Rhinolophus ferrumequinum: one gene and its partner. The protein of the gene in region 1 interacts with the protein of each later gene in a biochemical or structural test. Links are inferred from orthologs where the notes say so. Each region holds a gene or a part of one and is shown on either strand. Other genes may lie near its edges.

Region 1 (7,422 bases):
CAGTGGTGAGAAGAGACAAAAAGGGAACAGTTGTTTGTAAACAAAGGGAAAGGAGACAATGTAGCCTTAGTGTCTTTGATTTTGTTTTACCTAATTGATTAAAATGACAAGTCCAATTTCTTATAAGCCTGAAAGTGCATCATTCTTTGTGCCTAGGGAAAAGCTATGCATATAAGCTCTGCACTTTACAGAGTTCACAAACGAGTCCTGAACAGTCCATGTTCTGGGAATACTTAATGCTATATATAGCTCTGCAAAATTCTTTCATTGAAGAAACTCAGAGCACTTTGCAAATTAAATTAGGAATGTGTATGCAGCTCTGTAAGAAAACATCCAGGTTTGTGTGTCCTATTACAATTACCAAAGAATTTACCACTTTACAAAGAAAGTTCAACTCAATTGATTTAAATTTGGTGTGCAGTGATAACATTTAGCACATAATTGTATTTCCAGAGTATTCCATCTTACCTCCTCTGTATAAGTAGCTTTAAAGTTAAATTTTTTCAGAGGATTAAATATTCGAGTGTAGTGGCTGAGAACAGCACCCATTTCCTCCAGTTTCCTCAAAATGAATATAGCTTCATGAAGAAGAATGAAGTGAAGACCAGTGGTTAGTTCAGTGGCTTTATAACAATGCAGCTTTTCTTAGTCTGAATTTACCATAACCAAAAAGGCCACTAGTTGCCATTAATTGTTCTAAGTTGGAGCAGAAAAAATAAAATTGTTTAGGGTTGGAAGACAGTTCCATGGTTACCTGCTGCCAATCTTCGCTTCACAGACGAGAAGAATGCATCTCACCCCCGTTGACTTGACCAATAAGTGCCAGACTAGAGCTAAAGTGCCACCTCTAGGCTGACAGGCCTGCACTCGAGCTGATTCTGAAATATGAATGCAACAAGCCACCAAATTGATCAGAAGGTGTCCGTGGACAAGGCATTTTTACCTCAATGGACCTCTTTGAATCGCTTTCCCTATCGGTACAATGGGGCTGAATATAGTCTGCCCTGCCACCAGGCAGATTTCGTTGGGAGATCAAATGAAATAGTCTCTGAAACTTCCCTAAATATCGAAGCAGAACGTGATGATTATAATCGTACTTGTTGAACACTTAGGATGTGCCAGGCATTATGCTAAGCATCATTTCATTATCACAGCACAAAAGGAGGCAAAAAAGTCATTACCTTCATTGTCCATGGGAAGGTAAGATTTTGGTTAAATAATTCATCCAAGATCTCACAGATTTGAACAAGGTCTAGCTGACCCTCATACCCGAACATTTAATTATGAATAATGCCATAGAATAATAATACTATAATACAATACTATAATATTATATAATAATATAATACTATGTATATCATATATTACTATAGCATACTAATACTATACTAGTACTATATTACTATATTACTATGCTACTATAGTGTACAGTATAGTAATATATTGCATATTATTATACTATTACATAGTATGTTACTATTTATATAATAAAATAATAATACAAGAATAGTTTAATAACACTGTCGTATGAGATGCCATGATCGTGGTAATAAATAACATTTCACACATATACAACCAAAGAGCATTAGAGAAGATATTTATCCTATATGAACTATATCATATCAACAAAATGTTTTTAGTATTTTCCTAATTTTTAACAAGTAATTAAAAAGTGATTGCCCTTCATACTTTTTGAAGGATATAGTTTTCATTGGTTTTGATTAATCATGGCTCTCTCTCTTTTTAGAGAACGAATTAGTGAGAAAATAGTTTTACCTGAAACATGGTTTTATAATTTACTTTTTGTCTACTATGGGTTTTTCTAAAATATATTTTCTTGCATGTGAATGTATAATTTTAAAAGCTTTAGTTTTAAAATAATGAATTTAGGTAAATTCAGCTTTTCTTACAGTCTCTGTGATAAATGGGACTTGAAAATTGCAATACTCCATTCCGATTGAACTCCATCTACAACAGCACTGCAGCATCGGACAATTCACTGAAATAATCTCCTCACAGAATACCATGTCTTTGTTTTGGATAGACGTTCAATTAACTGACTTCCTATTTGTTTTCACTTTTTAACAACTTGTGACACTTGACAATAAATGTCTAGTCTTTTACTGATGAAAACTTTGATTTTCTCAAATGTGTGGCGACACGGTCAACTTTAGAAACTTGTCATTTTTGTTTCCACTATGACTACGGCGTAAAAGTCTGACGAGCACCCGGCAGTGCACACCAATTCCCTGCCTCCTTCTCCCCAGGGGTAATGAGGACGGAAAGGGTTTCAGTGATTACAAATGTTATTTTTTATAGTCACCTCATCATAAAAAAAATCACTTCTAGTAGATCAATAAGACAAATGAGTAAACCAGAAGATGGCGTTGAAGATTAGCAATCACATTTTAAAACAAGATAGACTGCTAAAGTCTCAAAAGTTTCATACAATGACTGTTGTTTTGAACTTCTAAAAGTAGATGAGTGAGGAAAATGTTGAAACTAAACCTGGTGCAGAGGACATGTGTACGAAAGTGTGAAAAGCTCTAGTTTGCTATTTTTGTCATTAGCAATCTCCTTCTGTCTATTGTTTGTGAACAATTTGGAGAAAAAAAACAATTCACTGATTAAAATGTAATGCAACATGAAGGCAGCATTCTTCGTTTTGTTTACTGAAGTATTCCAAGTTCCTAGAACAGTTCCTGTCAAGTAAAGTAGTAGGTGCTCAAAACACATTTGCTGAATGAATGAATCTGTGAAAGGACAAGAAAGGAAGAAGAGGTTATGACCAGAATTTTCTTTGAACAAAACCCTGTTGTTTATTGCATAGAATCTCATAATGGAAAACTTACTTGGTTGAATAAAAATATGGCATCCTGTTAATTTCTGAGAAAGTTCATTCGTTTTAGGAAAAGTGTACCTGATTTGTGTCTAACTGACTGTTTTTGCTTTAGCCTAAACTTAGTGTTTTCTTTGGGTAGGTGACACTGACCCATATGAGATTAAAAGAAAAACTGAGAAATAAGTGAAATCAAAAGCTTTACAAAAGTTGCGAGTTGACCTGGGGTGACGCTAGTCTAAAATCATATAGAAACCGGTGATCTGATGGTTTACCTGAAATTGCTAAATACATAAACATGCAGGGAGTATCCGAGATGCTCTGGTGAAAGTTTAGTGAGCAGGTGTTCAGGTAATTATTTTGATATTAAGGACATCTTGGGGAATTAAGTAACATTTCTGGTCTGCCTAAATATTCCTATTCTGGACATTTATATTCCACTAGTAAGCTGCTTCCTACCAGGATGAGGTTAAAACTACGTCATTCTAAAGTGAACTGAAGTCCAGAAGCAATTAAGTACTTGGATACTTCGGGATCCCTTCCCCAACTCTTTCATGTTGCTGCAATTGAAACTTTGGGGGCTACGCATTGTCTGAGTCACCTCAATTCACCAATTTAACAGATGCAAAAGTATGTAAGCATTTCAAACACATAAACAGTATTTGAACCAGTTTTATACCTCAAGGGATCTGGGCCATTTCCTCTTTTCTTTTTAATGAGTAGATAGATGCTGTCTAAACATTGCAGAGGGCAGGTTCATGAGGACGGCGATGGGGCCAAGGTTCCCCCACCCCCACACTGCAGTAAGGACAATTCCTCCGTCTTTGCTTCTGTGCTCTGCAAGCGAAGTCCCCTTCGCATCAGATTCCGGCTACTGCACGCCGCCCCTCCACCCCCACTTCCCGCGCTAACCACAGAGCAGTCGTTTTGTCGTATTAGTTATCGACTAGCCTCCCGCAGGTCCTGGCGCAGAAGCTAGGTCCCCATTTCGCGCCTTGCCTTTCGCAGGAAACCACCGCCAGTGAGGGTCGCGGAGGCCGAGCGCTCCCGACTCGAGGAACACTCGCCTGCGGCGGCACCAGCCGGGTGGCGGAGGATGCCGGATGCCGGAGTTCCCAGCCTGACCACCGCACACCGGCGGGTTCCTCGGAGCCCGCGCCCCGGGACTCGCCCGCGGGGCGCTCCACCCGCTGCTCGCAGCGAAACAGAGACAGTGAGAAAGTGAGAGAGACAGAAAAACAGACTGACTGAAGCACACTCATGGACGCTCTCAGAAAGAGACACATAGAGAGACATGTTGATCAAAGGAGGCCGGGGTGCCCTCCCCGCCCCCCGCGGGCACAACCCTCCCGGCCCCGCCCCGCCCCAGGCTCCGCCTCCAGCGCGGCTTTTAAGCTCTATAAAGTTCCTCTTTCCCACCTCGGTGTCTCAGTTTCACCGCTTGAACTTGGGACCCACCGCTGCCCTCAGCTCCGAGGCCCAGGCAAGGTAAGATCTGAGACCCCACAGGAGCACACATGTGAGGCTGGCAACACAGGGAACCCGGACGGCTAGACCAGCGGTCCCGAGGACCATCTCGAGGGCAGCGCAGGGACCCCAGCTTCAGAGCTGTGAGGGAGCACGCCCCTTGAGGGCGCCCGGACTCCCACCCCGTCTGTTCAGGGCCCGAAACCTTTGTGCGGGCTCTGTGGAGGGCCCGGGATCACAGCTCGAGCATCTCCACCGGCTTTCCCCGGCTCCGGTATCCCCACCACTCTGTGGGTCTGCCCAGTGCTCGCTGGGGGATGGGATGGGGGAGGCGCGAGAGGGCACGCGCTGGACCAGATGGGAGAATGGGGCTGTCAGGGCCTCAGGAGTGGCCGAGACGGGGCAGTCGAAGGGACTCACACTGGACCGCGGGCTTTCCCGCAGGGGACATCCGCTCACTCCCGAGGCTCCTTCTCGGGCTCCTGGTTCATAAGGGGCCCAAACTCACCGCCGCCGCTGGCGCGTGGCTCCCTGGCTGATGGTGGAGAAGGAGGAGCTCCAAATTTGGGGCACTCGGGGCCTGGGCTCTGCTGCCTCAACCCCAGCCCTCCGCGGTCCCACGCCCTCCCGGCACCCTCCCCTGTCTCAGCCCTCTCTCACGGGCCTCCAGGGTCCTGCTGAAGCTCGGCGCGCCGCACTCTCCCGCTACTTGGCTGCTGCGCTCCTCGCCAAGGGCCGGGTCTCTGCCGCTTATTGCTGCCACTTGATCCTTGCTAGCTGGTGCGGGCTCAGGGGTATTCTGGGGACAAAGACTGAGGGTGCGGGAGAGGATTTGCTGGGTGCTGAGCATCTGGGACGCCCCGACTGCAGACGAACCCACGTGAGATTGGCGCCCGGGGAGGCCACCAAGAGAGTGTGAATTGGGGAGTGGGCAAGAGTGGAAACTGACAGTGAAGGGGGAAACGGACTGGCAACAGCTTGGGGATGGGCAAAAAGGAGTGGGTGCTACGAATGAGTATGCAAACGGAGTGCCAAGAGTGGGGGCACTGTGGCTGGGTGTGGGAGTGCGCGCAAAGGCGACAGTTGTGAGTCTGGGCTGTGGGGTGCGTGGCAAAGGAGAGTCCAGAAAGTGGAGTAGGAAGATCCACTCCGCGCAGGGCACGCTCTCCCGAGGCGTCAGGATTGTGCGCGCCAAGAGATGAGCACCGCCCGCGGGGAAGGTGTCTCAGCTCAGGAACCTTGGATGACACAGACTCGGTAGCGCGCCTCGCTGCCTCGGAGACTCCGAGGCCTCGTGGTCCTTGCCAGAGCTGCCTGGGACAGGATGCCCCAAGCCCCGTGCCGCGGTGGCTCAAGGGCGGCCCTGCTGTCCCCCGCAGCGCAGAGCCAGTGAGTGCAGGAGGCGGGTCCTGGGCGCGAGAGAGCGGCAGTCGGCGCGCTGGGCATGAACCTGGAGGGCGGTGGCGGCCGAGGCGGAGAGTTCGGCATGAGCTCAGTCAGCTGCGGCAACGGGAAACTCCGCCAGTGGCTGATCGACCAGATCGACAGCGGCAAGTACCCCGGGCTGGTGTGGGAGAACGAGGAGAAGAGCATCTTCCGCATCCCCTGGAAGCACGCGGGCAAGCAGGACTACAACCGCGAGGAGGACGCCGCCCTCTTCAAGGTGACTCACACGTGGGGAGCCCGGGACTGGATTGGGGGAGGGCCCCAGAGACCCCGGCGGGGCCCGAACCGTGACCCGGCGTCCGGCCCAGTCCGCGCCCCGCGCCCGGCCATTCTCATAGGAAAGGGGACAGCACGGGACCGGCGGGATGGCGTGGGCCCAGCAGGGCGGGCTTCCCGGGAGCATCAGGGGGCCGTCAGCCGAAGCTATGGGAGAGTTTCCACTTCTCTCGTGATTTCACAAACGGAAGATCGAGTCCCGATCCTGAACGGGTGCCGTGAGCAGCACCCAGAGTCCGAAGTGCCCGTAGAGGGCGTCGGTCCCAGGACGCCGGCTTCAGTGTCCTTGGTTGCATTTCTGTGGGTTCCTCTGTTTCCATCGGAGCCTCTTTCCTTGCCTGTGGATCCTTCCCGGCCTCCTTTGATCAACATGTCTCTCGCTGTCTCTTTCTGTGAGCGTCCATGAGTGTGCTTCAGTCAGTCTGTTTTTCTGTCTCTCTCACTTTCTCACTGTCTCTGTTTTGCTATTTTTCTCTAGGGTTTTCTCTCTCTACATATACATATACATATACATATACATATACATATACATATACATATACATATACATATATATGTTTTAATATATATTTATATATATTTTATTTTTTTCCTTTGGTTCAGTCTCTTTTTGGTGTGCCTGCTCTCTTGCCCCAGCTCTCTTTGGGACCTTCCATCTGTATTTCTCCGGCTCTATTTCTCTGTCTCTGTCTGACTCCGTCTTTCCAAGTCTCTCTCTGGAAAATTTTCCTTCCTTCCTTCCTTCCTTCCTTCCTTCCTTCCTTCCTTCCTTCCTTCCTTCCTTCCACTTTTTCTTCCTTTCTTCCTTTCTCTCTCTCTCTCTCCCTCCCTCCTTCCCTTCTTCCCACCCACTCTTTTGGGTTTCTCTCTTTTTCTTTCTCCTCCTCTACCTCTCTCCCTCTTAGGATCTCTATTTTGAGCCTCTCTCCAGACCTTTCTCTCTTTTCCTGTGTGAGCCTGTCATGATTGTTTTCCCCTAAAGCAGTTTACCCAGTGACCGGTGCCCAGCCCCACCACCTGTGGGCAGGACAGGCAAAGGGGACTCCCTCAGGGATTTGCATTCAGAACACCTCAGACAGTCTGACAGCTCAGATGTACTCTGTGGGCAGCAGTTCATCCCACAGCCCGCTGCCTAGCTCCAAGCAAACCATTTCAGAAACTGGGTGGCAGGCCTTTGCCAGGGGTCCTCCACATCTTACCCACCTTTTACAGATACTCAGGGAATGTTTAAACCACTTCTCTTCAACGCAGCCATGATAGAGACCAAGGTGAGAGTATTTTACATAGAAGACACCTACTATATTTTTGGCCTACATTTTGAGCAGCAGATTAAATTTGAAGCACCTAAACACCATTATTTTCTTTAGAAATACAATCGCCAGATTCTTTTTTAA
Region 2 (8,022 bases), on another chromosome or scaffold:
ATGGGTCCCAAGTCCCAAAATGGAGCAAGAAAATCTAATGAAAGGGAAAATGGGTAGGGAGGACATGGGGGACCAGCATGGGGCAACCAGAACTCACCAGGGCTGGTTCTCCAGCCAGTCACCCAGGAGATGCCGCAGGTGATGGGGAAAGTCGACATAGAGCCGCTGCAATTTTTCTGGGGGCATCTGGGAGACCAGCCCCCACAGAGACATGACCTGGTGTTTCGAGGGCATCTGGAGAAAGGAACAGGCCACTGAGAAGTGCCCAAAAAAGGTGGCCTATGTTCTGGGGGGGAGGGACCTCCTGTAGACAGCCCTCCCAGAGACCAACCCCCCACCACTCACAGCCAGACCACATCAAACTAGGGACATCTTTGGTCAGTGCCTGAGACAAGGGTATCCCTCAGTGGTAGACACAGGGGTGGGAAGAGGTGAGCTGCAGCCAGAGAGGTGGGGAGACAGGTGAGATCGGGCAGTAGGGAAAGCTCTGTGTGAGAAAGCAGGGGACGAGGGTTCCATCTGTAGACCTGGCTTTGGTACTGTGGGCAAGGAACCTCCCTCTGTGGGCCTCAGTCTTCTCATCTATAAAATATGAGGCTCGGATAAGTGCAGAACTTTCCAAACTTTTTAACGCAATAGACAATTTTAATCTGTGGAATCCCAATTATATAAAAGGTATAAAAATTGCAGTTTCTCTGTTGAAGGCAAGTATGGTAGGCCTTGAACGCTACTTCTTCTAATTGCCTCTCCCCACCTCCTGACCCCAAAGGTGTCCCTGAGAAACTCTTCAAAGTTCCAAGTCTCCAAGAGATAATTTGAAAACTAGCCGGCTAGATGATGAAGAAGAGGATGTAGGACAATAATAGCTACCGTTTACTAAGCACTTTCTATGTTAGTGCTCATTAGAGCCTCACAAAATTTTAAAAATATATAATTAACCCCTTTCATAGATGAAGAAACTGAGTCTCAAGGGGGTTCTCTAACTTGCCAAGGCCACTTAGCAAGCTAGTTGGAAATCAAGATTTGAATCTGAATGGGGATTAACCACCACATTGGACTGTTAGGATCCCTTCCAGATCCAAATCCCATCATCCTACGAGGAGTGCTGAGGGAGGAGAGTCGAAGAAGGGGTGACCCAGCAAAGGGGAAAGTAGAGAGAACTCAGCAAGAAGGTGAGAGAGAATGAAGAAAAAGTGGAGTTAAGCCTGGAGTGAAGAGCCTAGAAGAGGGGGAGAGGAAGCTAGAGGCTTGGCTAAAAGGCCAAGGACAGAGAAGAAAAGAGGGAGAGAGGAAAGGAGGAGATGGGAGTAGGGGAGAGGGTTGTGTCCCCATTTCTGGGTGGGTTGCAGGGTGGGGTGGGTAAACCAGTGGTTTCCCAGGGGTCTCTCAGTTCATGTTTCTCATAATGTCCCTCTCCCAGAGATGAGGGAGAGGAAGGGGTTGGAAACTCCCTGGGCAACCCCGAACCCAGTAACCCCAAATCCTCCTGTTGTGCTTTTAGCCTCTTCCGTCTCCCAGGACTTCCAAAAGGATGGAGAACAGAGGATCCCTTTCTCTGGAGACTCCTGCTTCAAGATCAACTCCCCCAGCCCCAGTCCTCCCCCCTCTTTTCTCCCAGCATTAGAATCCTCTTGCCCCTCCTCCCCAATCCCAGCACCACAACCCCAGCTCTTTTCTCCCAAAAGCAGAATCCTCCCCACTCCTGCTCAGGGTCCTCCAATACAACAGGCCTTTCTCTACCCCTTTTTTTTGGGGGGGAGGCACCTTTTGGTCTGTGTTTCAAATTCAAGGGAGGACTCCGTTCCTCTCTCCTCTCTTCCACTCTTGTTTCTCTTGATGCTCAGACCTTTGACCCTCTACCCTAACCCTATTGAGGACTGAGGCGATCCTTAAGCCATCGGCAACCCCCCTTTCTTCTATGTCTCCGTGTTGAGTGACCAGCCTTCTGGCCCGGCCCTAGCTTCAAATCTCCTCCCCCACTTCATCCTCAGACCTCAGGAGGCCACACTTTCCCCCATCCCCACCCAATAACGAGGCTGGGTCGATCGGCTCGCCAAAACAGGAGCATCACCTGCATAAAGGCCCCTAAAGACTAGAAGGGACACGAAGGAGCCACAACATGAGGGGGTGGGGCCAAGATTTCCTTCCCAACTGGGAAGAAAAGCACGACGTCCAGGGTACTCATCACCCACTTCGTGACCTAAACCTGATCACCTCAACCACTACATTCCCGAGTCCTCTGACCGTGGGACCACAGGATCAAAAGTCAAAAGAGCTTCTCTGAGTTGCCCAATGTGTATTTGTGGCGGTGGGGGCGGGGAGAGGGTGCAGGGAGGCGGAGCCAGTTCAGCACGAGGAGGGTTAACGCCGCGCCGCTGGGAAATCTCGGCGTCTACAGCAGCCAAGCGAGAAGCAATTTTGAGGGGGAAATTCCCCCTCCTCTGGGGCACCATGAGGTCTATATCTGGGGATCACTTATCCCCCAGTTCCTGAACAGGAACCTGGATAGGGGAACCAGACAGGAGTTTGTCAAAGACCCACTGCCCTCTGGCATCAACCTTCTAGGGAGGGGCAGCCACTTCCCCCCACACGCACTCAGCAGGCAGAGGGTCACCAGCTTGCCCTCTTTTACCAGTCTTTACTTGTCCTTGGAGGTTCCGGAGGCAGGGGTGTGGAAAAAGTGACCCATGAGGGGGAGGTGTGAGCACTGGGCCTGTACCCATCCCAGATTCCTCTGAGATTCGAAACTGCCCAAACCCGGTACCACCAGCTACCAACACCAGCTGAAACAATTTCTTGGGGACCATCCGCCCCGCCCAAGGAAGGATCCTGAGAGCCCCCCCACCCCGTTAATTAATTCACCCTCCCATACGCTGATAATCAGAGACCCCGACCCTCCCGTCATCGGCACCATCCCCTCACCTTGGTAACCCCTCTGCTGTCTTCTCCCTTTCTCAGCGGGCACTGCCAGGCCCCATGGGTCTGTAGCTCTGTCCAGCGAGTTCAGGGCTGGCCCTGCGAGCACCCGCCCTCCGCCATCACCACCAAAAAGAAAAAATACACACACACACACACACACACACACACACTCACACACACACACACACAAAATCTTCTCCCGTCCTTCCTCCTCAGTGTAAGCAGTGGCTGCCCCAGCCCGCTGTTTCCGGCTTCTCTGTCTACCCAGGTCCCTCCCTGGAGCTCTGACGACACAGAGAAGAGAAAGTAGGCTGGAGGAGGAAGAGGAAGAAAGTGGGGTGAGGATATGTGCCTCCTGTGCCGGGCGGGGGAGCCAGGACGGGGCTCAGGGTCCTGGGGCCAGGCTGGAGGGGAGGCTGATCCCCACTTACTCTGTTTTCTCAAAAGCGATAAACTTTCCTCCAGAAAGTCATCTATTATCAAGCAAAGACATGCGCCCCATACTGCCTCTCCCATACTCAAACTTTTGCAAGATCCCCTGGGATTTGGGCTCCGGAGTGACTGGGCTCCCCGTGGCCTCTGGGAAAGCAAATCCCTTTGGGCTCTGTGCTCCCTCCAGTGGAGGACCCTGAAAAGCAGCGGGAAGCTTGACGTCCTAAGGCCTAGGTCCCCCTCCCTTCTTGGCAGAGAAAGCTTTAGAGGTCGCGTGACCACTGAGGGGAGGGAGTGCGGGTCCCCAAGCTCAGAATTCTGCAAGACTCCAGGAGTGCCTCAGACTGACCGTCTCTGCCCCCTCCTCCCAGGGTGCTTGCTATTCCTCAGACCCCGGTTGGAGCCGGCACAAGCTGAAGTTGCTGCCTGCAGACTCCCCAGGGACAAGTTGGATTATGACTCTGCTGTACAGCCTTAGTGAAGTTCCTGTTTCTGGGGTAAACACTGAGTGAGACACACCCAGGAACACACATGCACAACTTTCCTGGCCACAAGAACACACACACACACACACACACACACACACATGCTTACACACGTGCGGGCAGGCTCATAGACATGTCAGCACTCAGAGCCATATGCAGTTACAAGAAGACACACGTACACAAGGCTTGCTCAGCTTCTGAGTCATCATCCATCATAACTAGTGGATGGTTTCTGCAGCTTTTGCTAGAGGAGGAGCTGAAGGAGGCCAAGGGACCCAGAGAGACCTTCACACTCCCAAACCTGAGAGAAGGTGTGTGGAAAGGGTGGGCTCTGGGGGAACTTGGGAGGTGGGAGGAGGTTTCCACCCCGGCTCTCACCCTGACAGGGCTGGGCTGAGGGGCCAAAGCTAGGCCTATGCTGCCCCCTGGTGCCTGAACTGATTCCCAGACCCCAGCTCCTCCCCTCCCACCCCACGTGGACGGGCATGTGTGCTCAGGAGTGCATGGGTGTCTGGCCCAGCCAGTCAACAGGGTACCAGTTAAGAACTGTTTGGGTTCAAATCCTGCCAACACTGCTAACTGCACAGCTCTGGGTGATTTACTCTGTGCTTCAGTTTTGTCATCTGTAAAATGGAACAAATAATAGTCTTAACTAATAAGGTTGTGAGAGTGAAATGTGATAATACACATGAAGGCTTAGAACAGTGCCTGGTACTAAACATTAGGCACTATTTTGATTTCCCAGAATAAACCAGACATGAGGAAGGCAACAGGGCTTCCATCCTACGTAGGGGTCCCTGGGTTCGGGGATATTAGCTCTACAAAGACAGAGCCTATTAGAGGTATGTGTGTTTATGTGTTTATTGTGTCTAAAAGGCAGTGAATTGAAGAGGAGGGAGAGCAGGGGTGGAGATGGCCAGCAGGGAATCTGTCTTAGGATCGATCACGGTGTATGCAGTTTGCATGTGCTCCCAGGTGCTCATGCTGCCTGCAGACATTCACAGACAGTGGCTGAATTCAGGTCCCAGCATCTAAGGGTCTTAGAAGGTCCAAGTTCCCCCAAACTTCGGCAAGAGGAGGGAAGGAGTGAATGCAGTCTCTAACTTTGCTTCATTTTGGGGGTAGGAAGATGAGGAACAAATACTAGTAGGAAAACAATAGTTTTTGTCATCCTCTCTAATTGATTGCACCAGTGGGGACACTGTGATGTCATGGAAAGAACTCAGAATTTAGAGGAAAATCTGGTTTGGGTCTAACTCCATTTTGTGTCAAACCCTCAAATGGAGACAATAACTACATCTTCTTTACATAGCCTAGACTAGGGTGCAAAATTTAAGGAAGCACTCATCTTCAGGTCGTGCAGTTGCAGGGTTGGCCAGACTTTCAGTCATGACACCCCTACTTGCACAATCCTGAGAATGAGTGCTTTCCTTGTTTCACTCTCCTCTGGGTCCTACCATCCCACCAAATGGCAATTAAGATTGCATGAGAGAAAACATGGGAAAAAAGAACTTTTGGGTCTGTGGACTGCAGCAAGCCAACTGAGTCATAAAATCGATTTGGTGAGTGTGTTAGTTTGCTAGGGCTGCCATAACAGAGGACCACAAGCGGCACGGCTTAAACAACAGAAACTTACTGTCTCACAGCTCTAGAGGCTAGAAGTCCAAGATCAAGGTATTGGCAGAGCAGGTCCCTTCTGAGGGCTGTGAAAGAGAATCTGTTCCAGGCCTCTCTCCTTGGTTTGTAGCTACCATCTTCATGTTTATATGGTGTTCTCTCTATGCAGGTCTGTCTCCAAATTTCCTCTTTTTTTCTAAGGACACCAGTCAGATTGGATTAGAGCACACCCTAATGACCTCATTTTAACTTGATTACGTCTGTAAAGACCCGATTTCCAAACAAGGTCATATCCGGAGGCACTGGGGGTACCTCATATGAATATGAATTTTTGAGGGACATAGGAATTCAATATATAATATGTGAATTTTCAAGAGACACATTTCAACCCGTAATAGGGAACCTTGACCATCACTTTTTTAAAACCAAGTAGAATAGAAAATACCAGTATGCATCACACAAAGTAAGGATGGGTAGTGTCTAATGAAACTTGTTTCAATTTTATATGTGTATCTGAGTTCTAGGTCTTGATGTAAGAGATACATTTTAGTGCAGGTTGAGATTTTTTAAAACGCATTTGGATGTAATCACTTTGCATTGCTTTTTAATTATTTTATGGGTATATCCTTCTTCTCTGAGTAGAACATAAGCTCCCGGAGGGCGGGGACTCATATCATTCTGCAAACACTGCTGTGTAACTAGAAAAGACAACATTCATTCTTGCTAGTAAATACAATGACCACCATTTACTGAATGTTTACTGTGTATCTGGCAATGGGCTAAATGTTTTACATACACTCTCTTATACAAGGACTAAACTTGGTGATGGATTGATAGCAAGAGTTCAGTACATTTCACAGACAAGAGGAGTGGGTGCCATGTTCAGGAGCCCTGGGCAGCAGGCTGGGATTTGGGGAGGATTGAGGGACAGAAGGAAAAGGTCACTGAAGAAGTGTAGGAAGCAGCGGTGGACCCCTAGTCAGTTCTGTGTCCCAGGCCTTTGCCATTGTCCCCAGATTTCCATCTTAATACTAGCTCACCACTTAGATTAAAGAGAGACCCTCCGCTGGAAACTTCCTAATTTCCTGCTCTCTACCAACAGACATATTCATCATCACCTGAGCCCTCCCTCAGGCTCAGAGAGAGGGTGTCTGTGTCCCTGCCCCTGCCCAACGTATGTTCTTCCACCTGTGCTCAGGACCCCTCCCTTCTGCTTCTCCAGGCACTGTTCTGTTCATTGTTCCCTGGATCCTCCAAATCTCCAACCTCTCATTCTCTAATTATTATAACTCTTTACCCTCAGCATATAAACATGTTCAAATCCCTCCCATCTTTGAAAAAACAAAATGAAACTGGTAGCAAGCAAACAAAACCAATCTGCCCAGAATCTATGCCCAGTTAATTTAACAAAAATTTGTTGGATATCTGTTCTCAGGCTCGTAAAGCTGAGAGGGGGAATCCAATTAGTTAACAATGATACTACAGGATAACGGGAGCTGTCATTCTAGTGAAGCACAAGGTACCGTGGAAGCATATAGGAGGGGAACCTAAACTAGGTAGAGGATAGGGGAGATCAGGGAGGTCTTCCTGGAGGAGGTGATGCCCAAACTGAACCTTGAAGGAAAAATAAGAGTTATTCAGTCAAGGAACAAGGGAAGCGTTAAACCAGGAAGAGGATCTAGCATGTGCAAAAGCATGGATACTGTGGGAGCATGGTACCTCTGGATATAGGTAGTAGTTTGGCAATGGGGAGCATTAGAGGATTTAGGGCAAGTGAGTAATATGATGATGTTTAGTAGGGATGGAGGATGGACTTAAAGTATAAGTCTGAAGCCAGGAGAACAGTTCATATGGAGGAGGAGACCACTTGGTGGAGTAGAGGTGAAGCAGTATGGAATCAAGTCTGGTTAGGAGGAGAAGTAAAGATATGAGGAGCCAATGCGTAAAGAAACAATAGAGTTAAGGAACTGGGAGTCTCAACAGGCCTAACGAACAGCCTTCTTGGGAGCGAGGGAGAGAAAAAGCTAGGGGCTGGAATGTTGTATTCAGAGACAAGGGGCTGAGATTTCAGTCCAGCTCTCCTGGCAGGGTGTGGTACAGGTTGTAGCTATTGGAGTAAGTGACTGTGGCAACATGGAGGTGAGTCATCAGAGTTGAGGAGGGCAAGGAACCAAGAGGCCAGGGTGCTGCTGGAGTACCTGCATGAACATTGAAGCCATCTGGCTTGCAAAAGACCTGGGGTGCACGGGGAGACAGTGAGTCAGATGTCAAAGTCTTCAAGGAATGTGGGCAAGTGACCAGGACATCAGTAGATGACAGCAAAATAACTAACGTCTAGTGAGGCTTTATGTGTTACTTCAATTCCTACTTTAAAAACATCTAAGTCCTGTACATTTTATCCTGCAACAATACTATGAGATAGAACTATGGATCTAACATGGTAGCTACTAACCATATGTGGCTATTTAATTTTAATTTAAAAATTCAATTCCTCAGATGCACGAGCCACATTTCAAATGCACGATAATCACATATGGCCAATGGCTACTATATTAGCACAGACATGGGA

What was found.
Region 2: the proteins of IRF4 (region 1) and STAT6 form a complex in vitro, tested with the Homo sapiens proteins (2 studies listed by BioGRID). The link is inferred for Rhinolophus ferrumequinum from reciprocal best matches to the Homo sapiens genes IRF4 and STAT6.

Annotation. Positions count from the first base shown.
Region 1 is NC_046292.1:93,936,846-93,944,267, reverse strand, and holds the start of IRF4 (interferon regulatory factor 4), read left to right. Parts: upstream 1-4,266; 5' UTR 4,267-4,327; intron 4,328-5,685; 5' UTR 5,686-5,750; coding exon 5,751-5,969; intron 5,970-7,422. UniProt on the Homo sapiens protein: Transcriptional activator. Binds to the interferon-stimulated response element (ISRE) of the MHC class I promoter. Binds the immunoglobulin lambda light chain enhancer, together with PU.1.
Region 2 is NC_046293.1:56,162,662-56,170,683, forward strand, and holds the start of STAT6 (signal transducer and activator of transcription 6), read right to left. Parts: upstream 3,213-8,022; 5' UTR 2,923-3,212; intron 583-2,922; 5' UTR 528-582; intron 235-527; coding exon 98-234; intron 1-97. UniProt on the Homo sapiens protein: Carries out a dual function: signal transduction and activation of transcription. Involved in IL4/interleukin-4- and IL3/interleukin-3-mediated signaling.